Linked DNA regions of Nothobranchius furzeri. The protein of the gene in region 3 purifies or fractionates together with the protein of the main gene of each other region. This does not show direct contact. Links are inferred from orthologs where the notes say so. Each region holds a gene or a part of one and is shown on either strand. Other genes may lie near its edges. The genes, in order: map3k8, tank and tnip2.

Evidence for each region.
Region 1: the proteins of tnip2 (region 3) and map3k8 purify together in Homo sapiens (affinity purification with mass spectrometry; 3 studies listed by BioGRID and IntAct, with this or other methods). This does not show direct contact. The link is inferred for Nothobranchius furzeri from reciprocal best matches to the Homo sapiens genes TNIP2 and MAP3K8.
Region 2: the proteins of tnip2 (region 3) and tank purify together in Homo sapiens (affinity purification with mass spectrometry; 3 studies listed by BioGRID and IntAct, with this or other methods). This does not show direct contact. The link is inferred for Nothobranchius furzeri from reciprocal best matches to the Homo sapiens genes TNIP2 and TANK.

The regions. Positions count from the first base shown.
Region 1 is NC_091747.1:30,279,668-30,284,002, reverse strand, and holds the start of map3k8 (mitogen-activated protein kinase kinase kinase 8), read left to right. Parts: upstream 1-1,425; 5' UTR 1,426-1,528; intron 1,529-1,977; 5' UTR 1,978-2,052; coding exon 2,053-2,343; intron 2,344-2,426; coding exon 2,427-2,597; intron 2,598-4,335. Other genes in the region: mtpap (poly(A) RNA polymerase, mitochondrial), read right to left, coding at 996-1,146.
Region 2 is NC_091754.1:19,414,214-19,417,354, forward strand, and holds the end of tank (TRAF family member-associated NF-kappa-B activator), read left to right. Parts: intron 1-1,202; coding exon 1,203-1,603; intron 1,604-2,159; coding exon 2,160-2,327; 3' UTR 2,328-2,608; downstream 2,609-3,141.
Region 3 is NC_091744.1:17,108,047-17,112,329, forward strand, and holds tnip2 (TNFAIP3-interacting protein 2), read right to left. Parts: upstream 2,869-4,283; 5' UTR 2,666-2,868; coding exon 2,342-2,665; intron 2,224-2,341; coding exon 1,930-2,223; intron 1,804-1,929; coding exon 1,714-1,803; intron 1,577-1,713; coding exon 1,331-1,576; intron 1,247-1,330; coding exon 1,130-1,246; intron 1,026-1,129; coding exon 756-1,025; 3' UTR 16-755; downstream 1-15. UniProt on the Homo sapiens protein: Inhibits NF-kappa-B activation by blocking the interaction of RIPK1 with its downstream effector NEMO/IKBKG.

The DNA.
Region 1 (4,335 bases), on a different chromosome or scaffold from region 3:
CATTTCTGATGTTTAACAGAGTTATGACTGGGGCAGCAGTAGCTCAACAGGTTGAGCGGGTTGTCCAGTAATCGGAAGGTTGCAGGTTCGATCCCGGCTCCGGACAGAGAATTCTGCTGTTGTGTCCTTGGGCAAGACACTTAACCCACCTTGCCTGCTGCTGGTGGTGGTCGGAGGGACCGGTGGCGCCTGTGCTCGGCAGCCTCGCCTCTGTCAGTGCGCCCCAGGGCAGCTGTGGCTACATTGTAGCTCATCGCCACCAGTGTGTGAATGTGTGTGTGAATGGATGAATGATACACTGTAGTGTAAAGCGCTTTGGAGTCCTTACTCTGAGAGGCACTATACAAGTGCGGATCATTTATCATGACACAAGGAGAAACTGTGTGGGGGGTTTAACTCCAATAAAGGTTTGTTAATTTACTGATTTATCAATATTCCCTAAAGTATGAAGGTCAGACTAACCCAGATAGGACACTAGTCCAAGCAAGTCTGTTTTGAACACATTCAAATGAATGCATTGATTATTTTCAATAATCAGAAAACGAAGCACGTACGGTATGTAACCAGCCAGAGGCAAAAGCTCAGACATCAGTGTGCAAACACAAACCTTGGCTTAAGTCTATCAGAAAAATCCAAACATTCACATCAAGAAAAACAAATATGAATTAACTTAATGAGCGCCTATGTGCGTCAGCGGACTCCAAAGTGCTTTACACCACTGTAAACCATTCATCCAGTCACATGGTGACGAGCTGTGGACGCAGCTGCCCCGGGGCATACTGACAGAAACGCGCATTGTTTTTCATTCCTTAAGATTTGCCTGGGCAAACACAAAGCCGAAAGTTACCTGAACCTAGATGATATTTTACAAACATACAATACTTTAGAAATCCAATCAACTCTGCAAACTGGAGCCAAGGAAACAAAAACTCATGATTTCTTAAAGAGGTTTGAAACAGTTGTCCCTGTAAAGTTATTTAACTCTTTGTACGAACCACTTCCGTCTCTCTCAGTTGTCTGCGCTTGGGCAACAGCAGCGTCTGTTCCAACACCCCTGTGCAGAAACGTGTCCACCTTTTGTAAACAATTTAACAAGCAGGTCCTTCCCCTCAAATGTAACCGAGAAACGGCTATGGAAGACGCCATAGTTGTTCAAGTAAAAGCCAGATTACGCATGCGCAAACTCTGATCTACGGCAAGCAAGAGGCACCAAAAGGTCTCAATCGCCTAAATTATTTTTATTTTAGGTTTGTCAAATTTATAAAAGGATAAAAACATTAACTGAACATTGAAACAATTTATTGTAACCATTTTAAAAGAAAACACAAATGTTTAGAAAAAAAATCCATCCTATTTTTAAAGCCAAAATAAAAAAGAGAAGAAAAAGAAAAATACCTACGTGTGTTTGGACTCTAACTTCCGGTATTTACTTCCTTCCGAGAGTCAAGTCGACAGTCGTCTCTGACGGCAGAAGGGCTCAGAGTCTGGAGGAGAGATGCGACTCCGGAGACCGCAGAGAACACCCAAGGCAAGTGCTTTTATTCACGACTGACCCTAAATAACCGGCTCGTGATGGTTTATTCGCTTAAAATAACCTTTTATTTGCCTGTGTGTGTACATATACATATATACTGAGAATGTTTACTTATAAACACAACATTTTAGCAGGTATTTCAGTCTAATGCAATTAGATAATATAAAGTGCATTAATAAAAGGAGAATTAATGTAAACATTTTACATTTCTTTATTAGAAGGCACTAAATGCTGATCTAAACCTTAAAGTTTTCTGTTTTGTTTTGTTTGGGGGGTTTTACAAGCCGAGTCCTCCACGGGTTTCTGGAATTTCCCAGCTTGACCAGACTGTCCTGATGTGGATAGAGAAGTGCTCTCGGAGGCCCTTTTCAGCTTCAGGGTTCAGACAGTTGTGTTGAAGCTGGAGCCGAGCTAAGATCTTGTTCTCTCTCCTTTCTGACCAGGAGCTTGGTGATTTGCCCAAAACGTCACCTCCTGATGCAGGAATTCAGGCGGAGTAGCAGAAGCTGAGCATAAAGATGGATTACAGATATGAAACTGGACTAGAACTGCTGCTGGCTCACATGAATGTAGAGGACATTATCAACGCAGCAGAGATGCTCCATCAGCTAGAGGAGGCCAGCCAGGAGGAGATGGGCGAGAGGGAGGAGGCAGGTTTGGTGGATGAGCAGAAGGACTATGCTAATGAAATTGGGGGTGTTCAGTATGGGACAGTGACAGACCTCCTGTCTTTTGTGAACTTCCTGTCTAACATGCAGACATCAGCCCTGCAGCACCTCAGTAAGGAGATGGGAGTCCTCCTGAGCAAGGTGTGCCTAGTTTTCAATTTGCCTGCATAAAAAACATTTTCATGAGCTTTTTTACTTTCCAATCTTTCTCTTTTCCATTTCAGAAAGATATGGCGATTAGAAAAGGTCGCTATCAGGTCAGCATGGATGTGCTTTTGTTTCCTTGGAAATTGACCTACAAGAATCCTGGCTCTGGCCTTGTTCCCAAGGGTTCCTTTGGGAAAGTCCACCTGGCCCAGGACACCATGACCAGGAAGAGGATGGCCTGTAAACTGGTGAGTCTGACTGGAATTCAGTTCATCGTGTATTAGGGCTGCTCAATTAATCGAACTTTAATCACAATTACGATCTGAGTTTTGACCGATTATAAAAACAAAACAAGCCGATTATTTGCTCCTCCCACTTGCGCTGCCCTGAGGCAAATGAAGCGCTCCTCCCACAGTGTTGCCAACTTGGCGACTTTGACGCTATTTCTAACAGCTTCTCAGACCCCCTTCTTGACTTTTTAAATCTTAAAAGTACCTAGCGAACACCTCAGAAACATCTCTGGTAACCCTTAGCTACTTTCTGGATAACTGTCGTCGACATTTCCTGCAGGTTAGCTAAACACTCCGCCTGCGCTCCGGACCGTTCTTCAGGACATTAGGAAAGGGAATGATGTAGTGATCTGTCGGTCGCTAAAGAAACGGCTCTCAGGGCCGGCTCCCTGTTGGGTCAACCAGAGTGAGTGACACACACACCGCACCTGCGGACTCCTGAGCCGCTAAAAACGGCTAAATGTGCGCGTGCGGCAGTGGCGTGTCCAGATCTTTTAAAATGGGGTGGCCCAGGTGAGGCACAACTTTATGCATGGGTGGCACCAATGGTTATGCTTTTTTGTTTTACCCCCAAGCCTTTTGTGGACAATGAAAAGCCCATTTAAAGTAAATTAGTGTGGTGGCTCCTGGGGTGGCCAATCAGATTCCAAGGGTGGCATGTGCTACCCCAGGCCACTCCCTGGACACGCCCCTGGTGTACGGCGTGCTAAACACACGTGCAGCTTGCCCCGATGGCTGAGACCGGGTTGGGGGGTGGGGGGTGCAGCTGTGGTTGGGACAATTATTACATTAACTGATGGATTGTAAATAAATAGTTTATAAATAAGGTAGAAACAAGTTCCTCACGCTGATAACTAATAACTAATCTCTCTGAGGACACGGTGCTAGTGCACTCTCCTACAGCACCTTGAGATGACTCAGTAAATGTTATGCAAGATTTTGTGAACATCAATTTATTTGCATGTATTTGTTATAAATGCCACTGTATAATTCTTACTGTCAGTATTTGCAGGATATTGGTATTTGGGTCTGTACTGGTTAGACTTAAATGAGTTAAACCAAGGTCTATAGCCCTTGGGTCATAGACTATGAGCTATAAGTATATTGGTCTGTTTATACTGGGAATCAGGAGTTATTTTAGTGATCATCTTGTTTCTTATTTATTTTTGTCCTGATTGTGCCCTGAGCAATTTTATGGCTGAATAAAAACAAATAAAATCAACATAAATTGAAAAATCGTCCTAAATAATCGAGATCTCAATTTCAGTCACAATAATCGTGATTATTATTTTTGCCATAATCGAGCAGCCCTATCGTGTATTTCTCTATGCCGCCAGAAGCAGCTTTTTATTGACACAGCTACTTCCAGGATTGTGCGGATGCTGTGAGTCACATTCACTAGAGGAACAGGACCGAGTGCCCTTAAAAGGACGTGTTCCTCTCACGCAAGAACAGAAATAAAACCTTCCTGCAGCTGCTCTTTAGATTTCTGTACATGTATTCACAAATCACTTATTTTTTTCAACAATGTGTGCGTGTGTGTGTGTGTGTGTGTGTGTGTGTGTGTGTGTGTGTGTGTGCATGTGCGTACTTCGTGGAAGATCAAACAGGGAAGTTTCCTAGCTAGAAATTGTCAATATTGCAAAATCCTTTTAAAGTTCGTTTTTGCAAAGTTGAATGTGAAGGCATTGCAGGT
Region 2 (3,141 bases), on a different chromosome or scaffold from region 3:
TCAAAGCTCTCACTGATGGAAGGAGGTTTTGGCTCAGAATCTCACGATACATGGCCCCATTCGTTCTGTCCTTAACACGGATCAGTCGTCCTGTCCCCTTAGCAGAAAAACAGCCCCAAAGCATGATGTTCCCACCCCTATGCTTCACAGTAGGTATGGTGTTCTTGGGATGCAACTCAGTATTCTTCTTCCTCAAAACACGACGAGTTGAGTTTATACCAAAAAGTTCTACTTTGGTTTCATCTGACCACATGACATTCTCCCAATCCTCTGCTGTATCATCCATGTGCTCTCTGGCAAACTTCAGACGGGTCTGGACATGCACTGGCTTCAGCAGCGGAACACGTCTGGCACTGCAGGATTTGAGTCCCTGCCGTTGTAGTGTGTTACTGATGGTGACCTTTGTTACTGTGGTCCCAGCTGTCTGCAGGTCATTCACCAGGTCCCCCCTTGTGGTTCTGGGATTCTTGCTCACCGTTCTCATGATCATTTTGACCCCACGGGATGAGATCTTGCGTGGAGCCCCAGATCAACTGATGTTATTGGTCAACATTTAGCATGAAAATAAGGTGGAAAAATGCCTTGATATCAGCCATGAAAATCGGCCCAAAAAACAGCTGCACATATTAGCCATCGGCTGACCATGTCTCTTACACATCGCCATCAGTATCAGCAATAGAAAACCCAACATGGGTTGACCTCTAGTTAAATGTCAAAGTCTCATCTCTAGTGCTGATTCTTTACATCTTTGCATGCTATTTATACCATATAAAATATAAAATCAGAAGCCTGTTGGGTATTTGATGAATGCATTTGCAGGGGAAACCACTACACCTACAGTGTGGACCAGTGAGAACCAGTATCAAAATGCATGGGGGTGCAATTATAAGCACTGTCGCCTCTTAGCAAGAAGGTCACCTTTTCAGATCTGTACAGCGGCCGTTCCACTTGGAGCTGGCGTGTACTCCTAATGCACGAGTGGGTTTTTACTGGTGTCCTCCCACAGGCCAAAACATGCATGTTAGGGTTCATTTGTAAGTCTTTTAGATAATTGTAGCAAAATGCAATCAAATAAACATTTTTTAAGGTTAATGGTATATGTAACCTGTCAAGATGTGTCTCAAGTGTAACTGTCCTTTAACCAGTATAAAATGAGAAACAGCAAAAACTATGGAACATCACATTTTTCCTTCCTTATCCAGATCAGCGGTTCTCCATGCCCATCCAGTGTACGGACCGAACCGCAGAGGTAGAAAGGCCCTTTCCCTCAGCTTTAAGGGCAGCTGCGGACATCCCTCACCTGCCTGCATCTCTGGCATCCCGTGGTGCCGCTCACGAGGACAGGGACTTGGTAGACTCTCTCACCAAACTCAGTGTGAAATTCCCACCCCCTGCGGACAGTGAATACGATTTTCTGAACAGTGCTCCAGAGAGGAATCCTAATCTGGCCATGCCCATGAAGCTGCAGCCTCCCAGCAGCACCTCTCCGGCGCTGACGAAGGAGAAGCCCATGGAACTGCCTTTGCTTTTTGTCTATCCCACGTCTCCCTCCCACTCGACACCCTCTTCACCCTCCCAAGAGAGTGTGCGGGGACCCCAGCAGGTGAGAAACCCAGGAGAAGGTCTGAGAAAAGTAGTAGCAAATTATCAGTTTCTGATTGGTCTTTGCTAATGGAGGAATAAAACAGTGTGAAGTCCAAAAATATCTCCTTGGCTAAACTTGAAACATATTACCATGTAATGTGTGTGTATTCCTTTTTCTTTTTTTTTATTTGAGCACGGACGCTCTGGTTATATTTGGCGTCTTTGCCTGAAAGTGGGAGCCAGATGGAAGCACGTTGGAACAAGTATGAGGGGCCTATGTAGGATTTTATTGCTGATGTGTTTTAATAAATAATGGTGAATGACGAGATGGGAAAAAGTTTGTGCCGTTTAATTACAGTTTGGTTAGTTTGGATGAACCCAAAAATAGGAAGATAATTAAACACTTGAGAATAGATTTTCCTTTCTGCTGCTGTTTGTTCTCACTATAGAATGGATGACTTTGAAAGCAACAGATCCTTAAACCTCAGGGCCAAGTTTGTGGAGCATACTTGAGTGTAAAAATGGTTTCAAGAATAAATAACAGCTTACATCTCCGATTGTTTTTGAAATTGCAGTCTCTCTGGAGTCCTGGGTTGTGCGAGGCGGGCGACATCGGGACAGATCAGGAGCCTCAGAGCGGCAGTCCGAATAAATGTGCTTTCTGCAACGCCGTGGTTCCTCAGAACCGGATGAACAGCCACCTATTCTTGCACTGCTCTCCTAGGAACGAAACCAATGATTGACGGCGGCAGCAGAGACTCATGGACCAAGGTCCCAACTACTTTTTAAACATTTTACTGTGTTCATCATGATCCACTTCCTGCCTGCCTTGAAGTCCAAGAAGCGCTGTACAGGAACTGAACTTACACTTCTATAAGACTTGAATCCATCTATTTAATACTTAATATTGAAATGGTACACTTTTTTTATTTTGCTCACATTGATTTTCTACTATCAGACTGAGATTTTATGGTGATGCATATAAATATATATTTGAGAAAATAAACCAGTATTTACTCCTGTAGCAGTTTTTTAATATGAATATGAAAATTTTCAGCCATGCAATAATGTGCATTTATTTAAAATATAAGCAAACATCTAGGTGATCTAGTAATGGAGTTCCATGATCCGTTTAAATTATATTCTGGGTTAAAAGGACTAAAAAAAGCTAGAAAATCAGCTGATTATAAAAATTAGACTGATCATTAAATCAGCGCTAATGTTCATCGGTACACAGCCTTTCCAGCGGTGACGGTTGTGGTCGGAGGGACCGGTGGCGCCTGTGCTCGGCAGCCTCACCTCTGTCAGTGTGCCCCAGAGCAGCTGTGGCTACATCGTAGCTCATGACCATCAGTGTGTAAATGGATGAATGATACACTGTAGTGTAAAGTGCTTTGGAGTCCTCTGACTCTGAAAGGCGCTACTCAAGTGCGGGTCATTTATCACTATTATAACGAAGTTCAAGTACTTTGTTACTGTATTTACACAACAAACATATAAACGCAACACCTTTGTTTCTGCTCTGATTTTTCATGAGATGGACTTAAAGATCTAAAA
Region 3 (4,283 bases):
CACACAATCAAAAGCTACATTTCAATAGATCATATTTATAGGAAACAACATGTTTTATTACAAAAATAACATCTACAGGAAAAAAACTAAGTCTTTAAAAATGATTTTATGTCAGTTTGGATGCATTATTTACATATACTGCTTTAAAAATGATTGAAATATTTATTTCTGCCTGTCATGTATTTAAAAATACATGTTTACACAACATTTATGGCTTAAGTTGGATATAAAAACAAGACATTGCACTGAAACAATCACTCTTTTCCAATGAGAAATACAAATAAATATTAATATAGTTAGACTTTTTAAATCTGTCATTAAAAGAATATATTTACTTAAAGAAACACTAACAATAGCACCACATAAACAATTAGGTATAAACCCAAAGTAAGAAGCTTATGCATCAATAATATTTTAATCGCATTATGATAACACAATGGTTTTTTTTTGGGCTAAATAACAAAAAAGTGCAAAAAGATTGTAATTTGACATTGAGGTATATAACATTTTAAAAACTGCATTGGCATCTTCTCTCCCCAACACAGTAATCTCCTGCAGTGCCATGGGACAACTCTGTCTGGGTGTTTGTACAGATCTAAAACCATGAACTCATTTTCTCTTGCAAAATGGAAAGTTTGGGGTTATGTTCACATCTCAAGATGTCAGTTATTTAATCTGAACCTCCACCCAGGTTGCTTCCTGCATTGTAGTGCTGCTTTACAGTGTTCAGTAGAGAATCAAAAACTGGTTTTCGTTTATAGCCGGGCGCACTCTTCAAAATGGTTCATGCACTCTGCAGCTTCTGTGTCGTTGAACCTGGCGGAGCAGTGCGGACACTGTAGTTCCGACAGACCTGGGAGTTCGTTCCAATTTGTTACGTTTGCAGCAGCAGCGTCCACTGCAGGCGGCGGCGGCCTTTCAGCAGCAGCCCTTAGCAGAGGCTCTGAGGAGTCCTTACTTCGCCTCGAGGAGATCCTGTGTCCTATGTGAACACGGCACACAGAACCCAGGTCTCTGCCTGCTCCCTGCAGAGATTTACAAACACCTTGTCAAGCCACGTGGCTGTAATAAGTAAAAAAATGAGTGGATGCTTGTACAGAAGCATCTAAATGACGATCTGACACCTCACCTGTTTGTGGATCTGCTGCTTCAGCTGAGAAATCTGCTCCTTCAGGTCTGCGATCTGACCCTGTGCACGCGCTCTGTCGGCTCGCTCTGATTTAAAGTCGTCTGTATAAATCAAAACCTTACGGGGAAAACAAAACAACTTTGAAAATTCACAAAACGATTACGATCACTTTAAATGTGCTAATATTACATTAATACCAACCTGCTGCTCCAAGGTCTGGATTCGCTCTTGGCCTTGCCTCCTTATCTCCTCCACCTCTCTCTCCAACCTTGAACAGTCTCTTATTTTCTCCTCCAGTAAAGTGTTGAGCCTGGCGATCTCCTGATGAAGCAACACTGAGCTGACGGAGCCCTGCCCGGTGTTCTCCTTCAGCCTCTGACACAACCCTCGGATGTAGTCCTCCCTGCTTGAGTCATACTTCTGCCACTGAGAATTCAAACTCTGTACCTAAACAATGGAAATAAATAAGAAGCAAAGCTCAGCATTAGAAATTGTGTGTGCAGCTGATAACAGATTTGGTTGGAAGTAAAATTTTGCACTGAAATATAGGGGGAAATCTGTTGAAATCAAAAATACAAACGCACATAAGCTACGCGCTGCTTCAGCTGTTGGTTCTCCTCTTGAAGCTGATGAATTTGGGATTTGGCAGCACTTAGGTCAGAAGAGCTGGGCGTCTGGAATAAAAAGTCAAAAAGGGGTTAATAAATAACTCAAAAAGAGCAAAGAAGGCATTGATTTTTTATATTGTTTATATATATATATATTGAGCAAAAATATTATAAAATAAGATGAAATTGTACTTTTTGCTGCTGGGACACTTCCTCCACTTCTTCTCCGTCTCCTCCCTTCTTCTCCAGCCTGCCCAGCAGCTCCTGGCACACCCTCACTGTGGCGCTGAGCTGACCCCGCAGCTGGTCAGCTTCTTCGGCCAGCGACGTGCAGAGCACGGTCCTGGTGGCTTCGGCCCGCTGCTTCTCCTCCAGGGCTGTCCTCAGCCTGTGGATCTCCTGGTCCTTGTCGTGGTCCGGCTGACACCTGATGCTCTCCAGCTCCAGATCTTTCTCTCTGAGCTGCAGGTTCAACCTCTGGATCTCCTAGTTTGGGGGACACAAAGAAGAAAGTATGAGAAACCAACTTTTTTCCTGAAAATGACAGAAATAAATCATGCTTTTTACATATTTGAAGCTTCCTTTGGAGCTGCTGGTTTTTTACCTCTGCTTGACAGGATGCCTTGAGCTCCAGATCATCTTTCTTCTGTTTTATTTTGCACAGCTCCTTCAGTAAACTCTCCACCAAAGACTTGGAGGGACCGAGGAACACCCGCTCGTCGTCTCCCATCGTCATGCAGATCCTCTCATGCCTCCCGACCCTGGACTTTAAATCTGCGATTATATTGTCCTTTACGCAGATCTGTTTGTTGAGAAGCTCGATTTCCTGCCTCGTCTCGTGAAACAAAGTGTTTAACACGCTGTAGCTCCGCATTTTGTCCTTCGGCTGCGCCTCGTTCTCCGCCTTCAAACTACTCGAGCTATCCATCGCAATCGCAATGCTTAAAATTTGTAGATTTCGCGAAAAACGGTTTCAGTCTTTTAATAATCCAGCATTTGACGCCTCTGCCTCTTACTCTGAGTCTTTCAGAAACACACCGAGAAGGTGAATTCTGGAGGAGATCTGGCGCATCAGTGTCGAGAATATCCCCGGACGCTCTTGGGGGATTTCCTAGGGAACTTCCCCGCGGACTTTTCTGAGCGTCGTCAAAACGGAGCCTGGCTTTCAAAGACTCACTGCCGAGATCCGTTGGTAAAAAAAAGTGGAGGCTTGTCAGGCTGTTGGCACAAATTCACTGGCTGTTTGTACAAAAACACAAAACGATTCCCCTTTCTTGCTGTCTTCAGCTAGCTAGCGTCGGCTAGTTAGGCAACCAGAAAATTGATATCACTGCTGCATTCACTGCCGTCGTAAATTCGAGAACATTCAGCACAAACCAAACGAGTTCACCTGATAGAACAATCCCCACTCTACACATTTCGAATATTATTCACGTGAGTCACAAAAAATGCTAATCTAAGTTACATTTTTTGTGAACCCAGTATTTGGGTGGTGGCTTTCACCTGAAAGTATATGGCAACACAAATAGATGCTAACAAGTACAGTTTCCCAGTTACCAAACATCCCGTCCCTACCAATCACATCAGATGATTCAGTATATGAATTCCCCTCACAGTCCATTATTTTGTCCATGTGAATTTCCCCCACTGCATTTGATACTTTTTAGCTCATTATTATTATTATTATTATTATTATTATTATTATTATTATTATTATTATTATTATTATTATTATTATCTGAGTAATTCCATTTAGGCTAAACCAGAAAATTGATACATGAGTTTTGTATGGTCTTTTTTTTAATGGTCGTATGGTTCATTACTGCTTTCTTACAGCACTAAACCTGTTCCACTAATAAACCAACCTCATCATCACATGGAATCCAAGCATAACTGCACTACCAACACATGACCAATCTTTGCAACGTGTTATCAGTGAGATTACTTTCATATGACCTCATGTTTCTGATGCACTGACATTATTTGAATAATGAAAGATCAGTAAACATGCTCTTTTTTTGTTAGGCATTTCTTATGATAGCGAGTTTGATCTAATCTTTACAGGAAACGCAATGTAAATTTCTGTGGCCAAAAAAAATCTACCCCATTTCAGATTTATTCTGCTTTCACTTTTATTTTCACACCTAAATTTTTAAATATCAGACAAACTTGAGTAAATACAAAATGCAGCTTCAAATGAATAGTTTTTTTTTATTAAAGCTATCCAAACCAACTTGGTTCTGATCATGAAAAAAAATGTATTAACTACTTTATTTGGAAAGCTGAGTTCATATTCACTAGCTGCACCCAGGCCTGATTTCTGTTAGATCACAGTACCAACAGTCAAGCATGGTAGAGGTAGCATGATGGTCTGGGACTGCTTTGCTTCTTCAAGACCTAGATGACTTGCTGTAATTGTGGAAACCATGAATTCTGCTCTCTACTAGAAAATCCTAAAGGAGAAAATCTGACCTGTGACCCTACAAAAGGAGCTAATGATGGGAAAACTCCAAAGGTCCATTACATTTTCACATAAACAAGGTTGG